Linked DNA regions of Arabidopsis thaliana. The protein of the gene in region 3 interacts with the protein of the main gene of each other region in a pairwise test. Each region holds a gene or a part of one and is shown on either strand. Other genes may lie near its edges.

Region 1 (6,603 bases), on a different chromosome or scaffold from region 3:
CAGACCAAAATCCAAAAAAGAACAAAACTTTTCACAACTAATTTCACAATGAGCAGGTATAAACTCGTTTAGATATCAATGAACAATTAACAAAACCAATAAGCATGAGAATTCTGTAAGAAGTCCACATAAAAACTCAATCAGATAATCGGATAAACTAAAATTCAACACAATTAACTCCAATTGCGACCTAAACGCATCAAGATGAGCTTAACAACGATATAACAAAAGCGTAGAGGAGATATAATTCGATGATCCAACGAACAACCACTTGAGCGATTCGAGAAACTTCCAAAAATACTTCAATCAAAAACAAAATAACATCTAAACAATAGAAGGAAGACGGAAAAAACCCAGGGAAGTGTAATTGAATCACCTCGAGCTTACGAACGGCGACGGCATTGGAAGAGCCGGTGATGGTCATGAAGGTGTCAATAGCTTCCTGAGTAGGTGTCGCCATTAGAAAAGAGAAAGCTTGAGAGAAGTTTTTCGTCGGAGATTTGTGTTTGGAGCTGGAGTGAAGGAGGAGGCAAGAATTAATATATGTTGTAAATCACAAAAATTGCAGTGAAGAAAGGAATTGGATCGGTGACTCTTAAGATTTTTAAAGCCTTTTTTAGGGTCTTTCTTCTTTTCCATTTTTTTTAATTCTCCTTTTTTATTTGGTGTGGATTTTCTTAAACTTTATTTTCTTTATTCTTTTTGTATATTTTCGGTGATATTCAAGATATTATTTTCAGAGAACTTGAGATAATATATGGAGTGTCCTAATCTGAATAACTAAATAAATAATTATTCAGTTGAAATTGGATTTTTTTTTTCAGAGTCTTTATATTTTATAAACTGGAATTCGAGTCAAATTCAGAGTGGATTAAACTTATCTTTTTAGTTTTTACTAGCCAAGAACTTTTTGACCTTTTTTTTTAACATGATATTAATTGTTATAGTGTATATACATTAAAAGTTAGATAATTTTTAATGTACAAAAAAAAAGTTACATAATTTATTTTTTTTCACACCAATTACATATTTTATTTGTCAATTTGACAGTAAATATGGAAATAAGCCTTAAAATGTAAAGGCTTTTCGGTCCAACAACGAAAAACCAAAACCAAACCCAAAACTAAAATATCCAAAGATATCCTCACTTTATGATCATCCCAATCTTCCCTCTATATAGTGCCTTTAAAGGAGCTGTCATGTTCTCTTTCGGCCGTTTGTAATATAAGAATTGTCGTTTTTGTCCAAAAAAAAGGGTTGGCTTTCAGTTTGTGTCCCAGAAACAAAGTAAATCTTTAGATAAATTGAAACAAAACTAGCTTTGTGACTCCAATTAAACTTTGCTTCCTCTAAGAAACCTTATGGAGAGTATTATTCTACAATGATTTGAAGTATACTACTAATAATTGATTACATTTAAATTCAACTATAATTTATTGTTATTGTTCTTCAATCAACTTGAACTTTGAGTTTATTGGGCACATTACTTTTAGAGGAATGTGAATGTGAACATTGAAGAGACGTGTATTTTATTTTCTTCTTGACAAATACCGTTGGAGGTATAAAAACACCATCAAACTCAGGCCCATTTGGCAATGGCGGCAACAAGAATGGGTATTATATTGAGGTTAATTTCGTCAATCACCACTTTTAAATCGTGACAAATTCGTCTATTATCTCTCAATCTTCTTCAACCTTCAATTACATCGGCAATTCTACAAGTGGCAGCATCCTATTAGTAACAAACACACGTGGCGTAAGCTAATGCGTCGTAGTGTTTATAATAGCTGGGGTTTGTTAATTATGGCGTCACGAGTGATTTAAGAAGCAGCTGAAAAATAATAAACAATGAGGGAATGCCAACGTTTTAAATTATATTTTTAATTTGTGAATTTTCATCAGAGTCGGATCTTGATGCGACTGCTCAAACAGAGTCACCGGCGATTACGATGGCCGGAAACAACTCGGAATCGAGTCTCTACCAGGTTTTGGTGGAGTGGTGTCAGAGGATGGAGACGAGTCAAGCGAGACTAAGGGAGGATGTTGATGACTTATTGCTTCAGGAGGAGAGTCGAACCGGTAAGGAATCGGCGACGGGATTGGAGACGGACACGGAGAAAGAGGCTGAGGTAGAGGTGGAAGCGGAGGCGGCGGATTCCTGGGATAATCCGACGGCGACTTGGGAGAGAGCTGTTTCAGGATTCTATTTCGCTGATAGTGCGTATCGGACTTTGATGGATTCAATGGGACACGCGATTCATGTAACATCAGCTGCGTCTGGAGAAATTACATTCTGGTGAGCTTGATAAGTTCTTCTTCTTCATCTATGGTGTTTGTAGATCAGGAGCTTATAGTTCTTCTAAGTACTGTTTCATTGAATTGTGTGTTTAAGTAGTTAAACAAAGTTATATATAGCGATTCATTGTATATGCAAGTGGACATTTACTATTTGTTTCTGAGTGGAGAGATTCTTTTATTATTATTCAGGAGTCGTTCTGCTGAGAATCTGTACCATTGGTATGCTGAGGAAGTTGTTGGCTACAGAACTATTGATGTGCTTGTAACCGAAGAATACCGTAATTCCCTTACTGGTATCAGGAATAGGGTGTGCCGTGGAGAGACTTGGACTGGTCAGTTTCCGTTTCAGAAGAAAACTGGTGAACTATTTATGGCTTTGGTGACTAAAAGCCCTGTGTATGAAAACGGTGAGCTGGTTGGTGTTGTTACTGTCTCGAGCGATGCAACCCTTTTCAATAGGATGCATCCACTAAGTAATGAGCATCAACAACAAGCTCGTAGTAATAATAGACATGAATCAAACTTGAGAAAACATCAGTGGCACCTCCCGAGGCCTCAGATCGCTGCAGCATCACAGGTTCCAGTTGTCCCACAATATTCATCAGCTGTTGCTTCAAACCTGGTAGATCTCACATCATGAATGTTCGAAGTTTCTCAGTACTTTTTTTTATATAATAATTCGTGTGCAACATGAATGATTGTTTGTTTTGCTGTTTTCTGCACAAACCAAGAAGGCGTCGAAGCTTCTACCACAGAGAAATGGAGATGATTCCTTCAATGGAAATCATAATTCGAGGAGCCGAGATGAAAATGTTCCGGTTGTTGCCTCCACAACTTTCGAGAAGTATGGCTCACTGGTAAGTCTTCGTTGGCTCCTTAAACAAGACACTTCTCATTGACATTTCTTAGAACGATTATTGTCTCATGTTATAAGCTAAATCTGCATATACACTAGTGTAGGCGGATAAGTTTTTGGGGAAGCTGCAAAGGAAGATTACTGGCAGCCAAGGAACCGAAGATAATGAGCCTATCTTAAGAAACGGTATCAATAAGTCAGCATGTGGCAGTGGAGGTAGTTCTAAGGCTTCTAATGCAGTTACCTGCACGGCTTTCAGAGACAATGGCAATGGAAAACCAAAAAGGGCTGAAGTTAGAATTTCAGATGTCTATGGAAATGGAGCTGAGGGTTTGATACATAATGGAGATCGCTTTCAGTATATTGGGAACCTGGGACAAAGTAAACCTCCCAGAGGACTAGAGAGTGGTTTGGTGTCTGGCATGCGGGGAACAAAAATGTCGGACCTAAATGGTGAGATAGAAGATGCTTGGAATACTCGTCTTAGTGTTGATCCCTTGCCAATTCTAGGAGTCAACAGCGGTAGGCAACAAAGTCCTGTCAACCAAAGGAATAATAGATTAGTTACTGATTCGTCATGTGAGATACGATGGGAAGATCTACAACTTGGGGAGGAGGTCGGAAGAGGTGTATTTCATTTACCAAAGTCTTACACTCGTTTTCACGTTTTAGATATGCAAATTCAATTCAGATCTGTGTCATTGCTGTTTAAATCAGATTACAAGTATTTCTGATGCGTTACATTTTCTCACAGGTTCATTTGCTGCGGTTCATCGTGGAGTTTGGAATGGATCGGTGAGTTTTCTGTAATTTAAGATAAAATAAGGATGATTCTAGTATTAGTTGCACATGGATAACTAACTAGTCCAATCTATTTGGACCAGGATGTTGCTATTAAGGTTTACTTCGATGGTGATTACAATGCGATGACTTTGACGGAGTGCAAAAAGGAGGTATGTATAATTAGTTCTCTCTGTTATGAATTGTTTCTAGAAGTTACTCGTACCAGACAAAATAAATCAGTTTTGATCAATAATATCTTCAGATCAACATTATGAAGAAACTGAGACATCCGAATGTGCTACTATTTATGGGAGCAGTATGTACAGAAGAAAAATCTGCCATAATCATGGAATATATGCCAAGGTGAGATTATTGACGTATGGATCTGGAAGTAGTGTTACTCCTTATCGAGTGTGTTATATTATGCTGCAAGAAATTGCAGATGAATACTCTGTGCTAAGTTATTTCTATACGGTTTTGATGATTAGAGGGAGTCTCTTCAAAATACTTCATAATACGAATCAGCCATTGGACAAGAAACGCCGTTTAAGAATGGCCCTTGATGTTGTAAGACTCTGATCTTCCAAAAACCTCCCTCACAATGAAAGAAAAAAATATGAAAGGCTGATTATATTCGGGTTCTCTGTTGTTGTTGCAGGCTAGGGGAATGAATTACTTACACCGCAGAAATCCGCCAATTGTACATAGAGACTTGAAATCTTCCAATCTACTCGTGGACAAGAACTGGAATGTCAAGGTACAAACAGTTTTCTCAAGTTACATTTATGAAGACTTGTAAAATGAGTTTACTATTGCATGGACTTTCAACTCTTTCTTCCCTAGGTTGGAGACTTTGGGTTATCAAAGTGGAAGAACGCAACCTTCTTGAGTACTAAATCCGGGAAAGGAACTGTAATGTTTAACAAAAGCCATTTCTGATTCTTTTAATCCACAAAACAGTCTTGGATTTCTGTTACTAAACATTGTTCAACTTTTTTCTATGTGCAGCCGCAGTGGATGGCTCCTGAAGTTCTCAGAAGTGAACCTTCGAATGAGAAGTACGTTGGATATAATATTAACCCTTTTTTGTTCTCTTTTCGAAGACATTATTCAATAACTTGAACATTTTTTTGGACTAAAAGCTCAATGCTTTCGTTGTAATAGGTGTGATGTGTTCAGCTTTGGAGTCATCTTATGGGAGCTAATGACTACGTTAGTACCATGGGACCGTTTGAACTCTATTCAGGTACCTCTCAAATTCTGTTCTTATGAGATTATAGCTTGATCATAAGATTGTAGTAATCTTAGCAACTTTAAATTAGGTTGTTGGAGTTGTTGGTTTCATGGATCGACGATTAGACTTACCTGAAGGATTAAATCCCCGGATCGCATCCATAATACAGGATTGTTGGCAAACGTAAGAAGACGCATCTGTAAATTGTTTCATCAAATACACCCTACAAACTTAGGGGCGATTTTTCTTATATTCTTTGTTCTAAATTGTTGAAACAGTGATCCAGCAAAACGACCGTCGTTCGAGGAATTAATTAGTCAGATGATGAGCCTGTTCCGCAAACCAGGGTCAGGTGCGCAAGAAGAAGACGATTGAGAAGGTAAACAGTACATGGTTAAAGGATAGTTCACAAAGCAAAGGACGTGAAAAGAAAACGAAAGCATCGTCCTGATCACTTACTATACAAATGTTTCATTGTGTTATACCAAACTACTATTTATGTTTTCATTGAAAGAAAGAAAGCAAAAATAGCTAAATCAAAGTAATATACAGTAGAATCTTAGGTTAGTTTAGTTAAACTATGCATTATATAAACTGTTGTCGGTTTATGAGCTAAGTTGTAAAATGGGATCTAAAAAGGCAGAGGCGCAGAGGCCAGAGGAGGACTCAGATGTAATTTAAGAAGTAAAAGGGTGAAAAAGAGAAATACGAGAAAAACTGTGAGATTGATGGTGTCTTGTAGTGAATTGTAATGTAGTTGGTTTTGGTTTGATGGGGTAAGAGAAGGAGGAGTGACAATTCGTAGGCATTGCTTCTTTTGCTTTAATATTCTCTTATTACAGCTTCCCATCACTGCGTCGTCTGTAGCTTCTCAGCACCTAATTATAAGAGAGAGTCAGAACCCTAAATAAAACTTTTTTTTCAATCCTTATTCGTAATTCCACATTACAGCATCTTGAAATTGACGCAGTCACAAAAGCATAATTAAAAAAAAAAGGATACAAAGATGGGTCTATTATACCGAGTATGTATTGTGCATGCATGTGACGTGGGTGAAGGGAACTTCTCTTATAGAAGTATTGAAAAAGGAGAAATTTTGGGGGATTGAAAATATTTGTCTGTTTGTCTGGTTAGGTCAGAACAAATCACATCGAGCTGCATAGTAATATTTCGTTTACAACACATGGTTGTGACCTCTAGACAAATAAACTTTTTAACAGTTTTCGCTGTTTTGCCTTGCATGTATTTCGTAGTATTTCAATTTATATGTAACTATATTTCAATTGAAACATCTTTACCATATTATTTTCTTTTTTGATGCCAATTTCTTTACCATGTGTTTGCTCTTGTGTTATTTATGTGTGATTGATTGATTGACCGTGTCGATTACCCAAGCGGAATCTTGTAAAGGGATACTCCGTCACCGTAATAC
Region 2 (3,682 bases), on a different chromosome or scaffold from region 3:
GATCGGAATCATTTTGGGAGTTTGAAGGAACTAAACATAATATGCATGTCGAAGTCAACTTATTGCAAATAATTTTGAAATGATTCTGAATTGGAAATTCATGAAGCTTAATTATTTTATCTAAATAAGTTTAATATAGGTTTGAGTGAGATATCGAGATTAAATGATAAGAGTCTTTCTTCGAGGAGACATTAGAATTCTACACAAAAATCGAAATTAATCTAGTCCTTGACAATCAGTTTTCAATTAATCAAAAACCTATAAAATTCAACTCAAAACCAATCGTATGAAACTTCATTATACCATATAATCTGGTTACTTAGCTTAAATCTCTACCCGGCGATGTTTCATGCTTGAGAGACTAGGTACATAGGACACTAGGAGTACTGCATATATGGTTACCTCATGAGTTCTCATCGTAAAATCATCCAATAAAAAATGGTTTCCTGCTTAGGTATACGGTATACCATCTTGTATCGTTAAAATTTATAGCTCAGTTCGTTGCTAACAGTCAAATACGTCTTTCCAGGGTAAAAAATGTGGAAATTTGTTCCACTGTAAAAACCTAATAATTTTTGACATTAATAATTAAAAGGGATTATAATGTAATATATACAAAGATAGGGGAGACAGAGACGAAGGCCCACACATCTTTAACAAAAGAACAACAAGCCCGTGACCCCAAAATAAAACTAGCTTTCAGATTTATTATTTTTCATCTGACATAATTGCAACCGTTAGATTTCATTTCTCAGGTCCCATTCTGACTCAGATCCAACCGTCCATATTCCTCTAGTGTCTTCAATAGTTGGGCCCCTTTTCTTTTTCCTCTCGCCGTACACTCTCCTTCCAGCGCCAACGCCACCGCCCGAGCCACTTCTTCCGCCGGCGCCACCGCGATTTCCTCGCCGGAATCCCCTCCTTCGCCGCCTTTCCCGTAGACCACGGAAAGGATGCTTATGGCGTATTCTCTCCCTCTACCAGCCAATCTCGCCATCACCGCTACCATCGCCGGCACCGTCATCGCGTGAGCGCGAACCTCCGCCGCTCCTTCTGCCGTTGTACACATTAGCTCAAGAGCAGCTAAGGCTCGCTCCACCGCTGAGATCTCTAGTCCTGCCGCTGTTTCCACCACCGCTCGTGCGGCTCCAGCCTCGACCGCCACGTGGCGGTTTCCTTCGGCGAGGCAGAGAGCGAGTAGGATCTTGGTGACGTATTTTGCCGTTACGATCTTGTTGTTGCTACGAAGGCAAGAGACGAGACCTCGCATGAGACCCGGTGGACAAGTCGGATCAGATGGCGGGTCAGGTACGACTACCCGCTCGAGTAGCTGTAGAGCGAGGAGCTTGTCGGATTCAGAGACGGATGTGAGGTGAAGCTCTGCGATCTGGAAGGTTTCTTGGAGAGTGGTGGTGACCGGAAGAGGCGGTGGTGGAGGAGGTGGATGAGGAGGAGGAGGAGCGGTGGATGGAGTTTGATCAAGATGATGAGGAAAGCGCCATTGAGTGAAGCTTTGGGAAGTTGAGGTTGAGGAGGAGGAAGATGAGGAGGAAGTGGTGGTGGCTTTACGGCGAGGTTGCTGCTGGTGAGGAGAGGTTGGGCTGAGGACGGATTGTGTGCAGCGGCGGAAGAAGCCACAGGAGAAGAGAGGACGCGGTGGCGCGTGGGGTTTCGGTTTCTGGTTTGCTTTCATCATCGCTCACTAGGGAGACTGTGTGGGACTTTCAAGTGAAGTGGAGTGAAGTGAAGGGAAGCGTCTCTGTTTTAAATAGGAAGAAAATAATTGATTCGAACCAAATTTGTCAGGCGTTACACTTGTGTTCTCCCTAAGATTATTGCTCGCATTAAACCATTAAATAATATTTATTATAATCACATGTTTGTGTGTGGGATGGTCCCCAAACATACGAATTTACGATTTGGACGAGGGTTTAAGTATAATGGCGACATCTTTGTTTTTTTGGATCAATCATTATCTGAAGACGATAAAATGCAGGCTGATTTGGGTCTTAAAACATGGAATTTATTGCTGTTTACAAAAATGAAAAGGTTAAACAGAGGCTTCTATAAACTTTAAATTCAGAAGGTGCAGCTCAACTCTAGAATGTGACAAAGGTCACAAAGCAAGAGTCTGTAAAGTGTACTCGATTTCCAAAGCCTAACATCAAGAATTTAGCTAAGACAATGGTTTTTTCTTCTAAGAGTGCGAAAAATGGTTCATAAACATTCTACAATGTGAAAAAGCCCAAAGAGAGGAAGGATTTTAAACCTTACGGTTCCAATCACCTCCATTTTTCGCTTAGTTCTTTCTTCTCTGAAAGGACCCATGTGATGTAGATGGCTGCAACAAGTGCTACAATCGTGATCAGGAGAAGAGCGTAGCTGAAATCGTCGGTTAGTGAGTCGTAGGTCTTTGAAGGAGCAAGCCTTGTGTAGAAGAGATCCACTCCATAGGCAAAGACGTGTGTTGTTGACTCTAGCTTGGACGGAGCTGTTACTATGCCTCTTAGACCTTCTACTTTGTGGGAGTGTGTAACATACGCCTGTGGAATTTGACAAGTGCGTTAGAAACTATACATCACTTAATCTAACTGTAACCAAAACCAGGGATTGCTCAGTTGTAACAAATATAAGGAAAATGGGTTTGAATGAACCTGAGGAATGATGGGTAATGTATCAGTGAGAGGGATGATTCCTTCTTCTTTTTCAGCTTGAGACGGGTTAAGTGTCCGGCGTGGATCCACAAATCGTTTATCAAGTGCCAATATCTAATCATTCATAAAAACAGTTTTGAGTATCAGTTATTCAATCTATATAGGTATCTCTATATGAGAAGATATGTACAAACCTGATCCCCGATGGTACCAATGAGAAGCTGCTTTGAAGTTATACCCTTTGCTGTGGATGTCACCGCAATGGTTTTCACAGACTGAGCAAAGAAGTATGACTGTGACTTTGTAAACACCTCTGGCCTAGAGTACGAAGTGATGGGTGCTGTTAGATTGTGCTTTCCCAGAATGAGTTTCCACACATTTTTGTTCTCCTGCAAATAAAATTTATAATGATTCACAGTGGGAACATCAAATCAACTGAAAAAATATTTTTGAGTATGAACTATGAAGTCATACCGCCCTCGACTGATCATAGATCTCAACGACCGTAACCTCGTACTTGTGAGCTCGAAGATTGAAATAGTGGTAAACAACCCAATTTTCACTAAACACCTGAAAACAATTTGAAGCCTAAGAAAGTTGCATTGAATCTGTGACAAAAAGAAATGAGATGAAATTGCATGAGGACTTACCGCATGAACCGGCCCTTGACAGCCTTGATGTGACAAACGGTGCAGTATCCGTCCTGTGATGGTGTCAATGAGGTATACTACGAGTGATGACTCCTCTGGCGTAACTGAGCCAATCTCACCAGCACCTTTTGGTGAAACGGTGGCCACAAACAGTAAGTTTCTTGATACATATTTATACAATAGGTCTTGGTCTGTGTTGACTTTGGCTTGTGTATGAACAACCTGGAAATAAAAAATCGTAAGCCATGATTAAAAAATTTAAACATTTATGTGATAAAAAAAACATTATCAAGACTTATACCTCATTAGGTTTTCGTGTTAGTGTTGAAATGATTTTCTCTGATTCCGAAGGAAACACAACAGTCCAAAGTTCTCGGG
Region 3 (4,777 bases):
GGATATTCATTATGTTGTTCGTTCTATACTTTGATATTCATTGGTTGCTACTTCTTGAATCATCCTATAACGTAGTTGTGAGAGCATTTCAAATCATTTGTTTGCAGATTTATAGATGATTTGCAATGGCAACGTAGCGGAATTTATGATTTGTCTTGTATTCTTTTTAGTCAAGTGATTAATTCTCGAATAATATTCGATCTAGGATTTTAGTTTTGTGATGAGTGATTAGTTTCTACGCTTTGATTCTTAAGGCTGCTCTCATGCGTAGTAGTAGCCTTGTCTTTTTGGTTTCTAAACGTGTTGCTAATGATTTTTGAATAAGTTTGATTTATCTTTAAACTGAAGTTGTTCAAAAATAGTTTCTGCTGCATGAATTTGTAAATCTTATTAAGCGAAGAACGAAAGTTAGTCTCGAAATGATGATACATTCCTAGTTTTAAATGGTCGTGTTGAATGGAGTTTTATCTTGATCAAAAAAATAAAGATGCAATTTTATCTTGACAAAGTGGCGATCACTTAATCTTTTCTTTTTCGTTATTCATAGACAACTAACAGTATGTATGTACACAAAACTGTAATCGCATACTGTGCACACAACAAACACACTTAATACACAAGTATATCTCAAAAGAGTTCTCTCAGCTGCGTAAAATCTCTAAATACAAAAGCAGCCGTGGGAGAGATTATTCGTCATCATCAATTATATAATCATCGGTTTTCACCAGAAAACACACTAGTTTCAGCCATCCAACAGATTCCTCAAGCTACAGAAAGCTTCAGGCGAAAGACTAAAACACCTTCTCTTCTCCAATGGCACCACCGGCTTGTCCCCTCTGTCCATTGTCATGAAACATACCACCACCGCAGTTAAATTATCAAATGAGTTCCGCCCCAGAGCCTCCATCACTAGCTCTCGCGCACATCTTGTTGGATCGTTGTGCCGGTTTAAGCCACGCCTAACAATGCTAACCGCTTCTTGGCTCGTCAAGACATCCCAAATCCCATCGCACCCAATCACAAGAAACTCATCGTCTTCAGTTAGAGTTATCTGCTTGATTTCTGGTTCCGAGATCAGTGGAGATTGAGAGCCGTGTGGCAGTTTTAAATCCCAGTCGCCCAGAGCTCGGGTTACAGCTAGGACTTCATTTAGGTAACCGTCATTAGTGATGAAACCGCCGGATTCCTCCACTCTTCTTCTCTCAAGTAGATTAATCGGTTTATGGTCTTCAGACATGTCTATCGCTCTGCCTTTCCTGCATAGAACCGCTCTGCAGTCTCCGGCATTTGCAACCATTAAGAGTCTGCAAAAGACAAGAACATAAGTATCCCATGAGAAAATCACAGTTAAACCCCAAAGACAACAACAGAAAGAGTAACCAAAAGTATAAAACCATAGCCAATATTGCTCATGTCACAGGTTATATACTTACAATCTAGTATATGTAAGAGCTCTCTTAAGATCCTAACAATAGATTTATTTACCTTTGTGCACATCTTCGTATATGCGCAAGAGATCTCTTAAGATTCTAAAGATAGATTGAGAACTAAACAAAACTGAATGAAACACGTACCTTCCACAAATAAGAGCAGTCAGAGCGGTGGTACCACAAGAATCGCTGATACTGCAATCCTCTGCCAAAGCTAGATCAGCTTGAAGAAACGCATTTCTCAATGAAGTCTCAACTTCTTCCACATAAACACTACTCACTTCCGATGTCTGTGGAAACTGCTCATCTTCAAAGAAAAACCTAATGGCATTTTCCCGTACGTATGCTGCTGCTTCTGGTCCTCCATGCCCGTCAAAAACCTAAGCAGAGGAAAGTCAAGTCAGAATGTATACTTAAAAGAGCATCAGATTATAAGGAAGCAACGATACATACCGCATAGAAAGCACTAGGCTTCGGCAACTCAAAAAGGGAACCAACTTGAGAAGATAAATCGTCTATGCGAATGTGTTCATCTTCCATGTTTCTCTTTGGCCCAATATCAGCAAAGCTTCCAGACCGGATGGTCGGAATATAATCCAAGACACTAGGATCGCAATCACCCTCTGGAAAGATATCAGCCTGCTAAATAAAAGGTATACACGGATGCTCAATTGAGTATAGCAACAAATAAAACACAAGCAGTGAAGACAAGACAGTTAACAACACACAATAACTACAAAGGGCTTCTCCAACAGCTTTAAAGTTGCTTCATTAAGGCAAAGTTATAGACAACAAGCATCTATATTTGCTACGACACGCAAACACACATGAACTAGAGGTCCTCTAAGCCTAAGAGATCCAAGGATATGTTTGCAAAATATTTACAATAAAGTCATCTTATTTGATGATTCCTAATAGACTAAAACCAATAATTCAGTCGAATTTCTAATTACGTTTCAGAACCCAGCTTCTTAAATTCTCACCCAGAAAATAAAAATGTAAACTTTAAACAAGACTTACCACAGGAGAAGTCGTTAAACTTCCGGAAACCGACGCCGTTGACTGAGTAAAACCCAATTTCGGAGAAGAAACGGGAGATTTAACGGCGGAGGAAACTCCGTCAAACAACTCAATCTCCAGAACCGCCGGTAAACTCTGTTGAAACACAACCTCTGCTTCTGCTACCATCAGTCTCTTTCTCTTTTCACAATCAATTTCAATTTCACTTCAACAAAATCGATCCTTTAATTCCAAGAAACTCAAATTCTTTATCTCTGATTTTCTTTTTTTTTCTCTCTCAAATTCGTCACTTGTGTTCAACGAAAATTAACAACTATCGAAGTTCGCGTGTGAATTTATTCCTCTCGTGGACGAAATTTCTGAGCCGCGTGGGCTTTTTCTCTCTGATTATATATAAGAAGAAAAAGACTCGATTATGGGTGACTGGGTAACCGGTAAAATTCAGTTGACACGTGGCCATCATCTGTGGCGAGTCGGTTGCTTATGTAGATTATGATCTCTGTTTAGTTTGTGGATTACACACGGCTAAGACTAAGCCCTAATTATGACACGTGTCATTCGAGCTTTGACGCGCGTACCCTCGAACGACGTCGGATTCTGAACCACTCCTTTTTAAACTTTTACCAACTTCCGAGGACTTTCTTTGGAAATAACGGGGATATTTCTGTAATAGGATTAAATGTTTAGGGGTACTTTAGGAAGTACAGAACTTTCTCGACCAGAATCTCTAAAGGTTTGTCCGTGTACACACCTGCAAGTGACGATCTTTAATCACACAATGGCGTTGCATCTAGATGAATCTGGACCGTTAAAATCACCAGGATGAACTTGCCTCCCAAGGTTTAACTATCTGTCATGCCAGGTCAGCAGTCTTTTCTTTCTTTTTAATTTTTGTCACGAATAATAGTTTAGTGGTATCAAGCTTTACACATTGCGTAGATCAACAAGTTAAGTGCTCTCTATGATCCAAAGCCATTACCTAATTTATTATTTTATGTGGTTGTTTTTTCCTTCTCAATTTGACTATTGGAAAAATTAATTAAAATATCTAAACTGACATAGTAATCCAAATTTAAGAATTACCACACGTTTTATTTATTACTTAAAAATTTTGTCCTAAGCAATATGAGTAAGTTTAACATTTCGAAAATATAATAAGACATGTTATTTGTATAGAGTAGGTGCAAAACCATTCTTTATAAAAAAACTGTCTATTAAGGCGGTAATACACTTTGTTATCATATTAAGAATGTATGATCTAATTTAACCTAAATACTAATTTAAAAGTTAAAAATTATCACATTTTTTATATATTACCCAAAAATATTTGTCTTACTATGTAAGACATTCAACTAAATAATGTTTCTTTAGACGAAACCAAGATGCTCAAGATCTAATGCGTTGCTAAAATTTTGAAACTTGTTCGTGTAAAGTCTAATATAAAACTAGTGTTATGGTATCTTACCAATAAAAATTAACAACTACTAGTACTTATTAGCATATATATGTATGACTCAGCATAATGTTGCTGGTGTTATAGTATTAATATATTATGATTAGGGTTAATATAATATGACACACGATTTGCTGATGATCATCAATGAGGAGACACGCATTTAATGGATCATAATTTCGAGGAAAGCCATAAATCTTTAAACTGTCTGAAAGTATTAAGCCCATTGGATTCAGTAAGGTTTTCTTCCTTGTTGGATTTTAAGGGAATAGTTGGCCTTAAGATTTCGACTATAATATTAATAAGAAAAAGGTGCAACTTTTAGCCCTTTTTTGTATTTAAATTCTGCGAAGGATCTTTAAAACATTATATTAGTCAAACTAGAATGGTTTTAATCAGGTTAAGTTACTGTACCTACGCGTGGAAAAATGGTCAATGAGAATGTCTTAATCTAATCTCTGATCCGACAATAAAAATCGAGACGCAACAAACACAGTTTAAGACAACCACATAACCAAAAGGCAAAAGCCACTAACTTTTCTTGTTGTTCTTTATTTTCATGTTTCCGTTAGATTTTTTCTCTCGAACTTTCTTTTATCGTGAACGTCTATATTATAAGCTGATGTTTCATGGCTTTATTATTACATAGTATAATGTTTTACCGACATTTGACATGGTATTTAGAGAGATTTTACAATGATTCTAAATCAAGAACAGAAATGCAAACATAATTTTAAACATAGGTAAAAAGAAAAAAAAAACTCAAGAATGCATAAGATACAACATCAATTAATTAACTAATTTTAAACATAATCTCCTCCGGTTTTATCAAGCCTCCATCATCGGTAAACTCATTTCGACGATGATGATGGGT

Evidence for each region.
Region 1: the proteins of AT3G62260 (region 3) and AT4G23050 interact in a two-hybrid assay, tested with the Arabidopsis thaliana proteins (one large-scale study listed by BioGRID).
Region 2: the proteins of AT3G62260 (region 3) and AT5G11550 interact in a two-hybrid assay, tested with the Arabidopsis thaliana proteins (one large-scale study listed by BioGRID).

What each region holds. Positions count from the first base shown.
Region 1 is NC_003075.7:12,078,163-12,084,765, forward strand, and holds AT4G23050 (PAS domain-containing protein tyrosine kinase family protein), read left to right. Parts: upstream 1-1,897; 5' UTR 1,898-1,949; coding exon 1,950-2,296; intron 2,297-2,487; coding exon 2,488-2,920; intron 2,921-3,029; coding exon 3,030-3,155; intron 3,156-3,258; coding exon 3,259-3,781; intron 3,782-3,908; coding exon 3,909-3,949; intron 3,950-4,038; coding exon 4,039-4,107; intron 4,108-4,199; coding exon 4,200-4,300; intron 4,301-4,425; coding exon 4,426-4,504; intron 4,505-4,595; coding exon 4,596-4,694; intron 4,695-4,780; coding exon 4,781-4,849; intron 4,850-4,945; coding exon 4,946-4,995; intron 4,996-5,101; coding exon 5,102-5,183; intron 5,184-5,259; coding exon 5,260-5,354; intron 5,355-5,449; coding exon 5,450-5,546; 3' UTR 5,547-6,094; downstream 6,095-6,603. Other genes in the region: AT4G23040 (Ubiquitin-like superfamily protein), read right to left, coding at 377-460.
Region 2 is NC_003076.8:3,707,452-3,711,133, forward strand, and holds AT5G11550 (ARM repeat superfamily protein), read right to left. Parts: upstream 1,953-3,682; 5' UTR 1,697-1,952; coding exon 752-1,696; 3' UTR 510-751; downstream 1-509. Other genes in the region: AT5G11560 (catalytics), read right to left, coding at 2,283-2,543, 2,655-2,768, 2,849-3,043, 3,129-3,224, 3,305-3,526, 3,606-3,682.
Region 3 is NC_003074.8:23,037,774-23,042,550, forward strand, and holds AT3G62260 (Protein phosphatase 2C family protein), read right to left. Parts: upstream 2,798-4,777; 5' UTR 2,619-2,797; coding exon 2,451-2,618; exon of another isoform or gene 2,073-2,450; coding exon 1,884-2,072; intron 1,811-1,883; coding exon 1,575-1,810; intron 1,305-1,574; coding exon 743-1,304; 3' UTR 517-742; downstream 1-516. Other genes in the region: AT3G62270 (HCO3- transporter family), read right to left, coding at 4,755-4,777.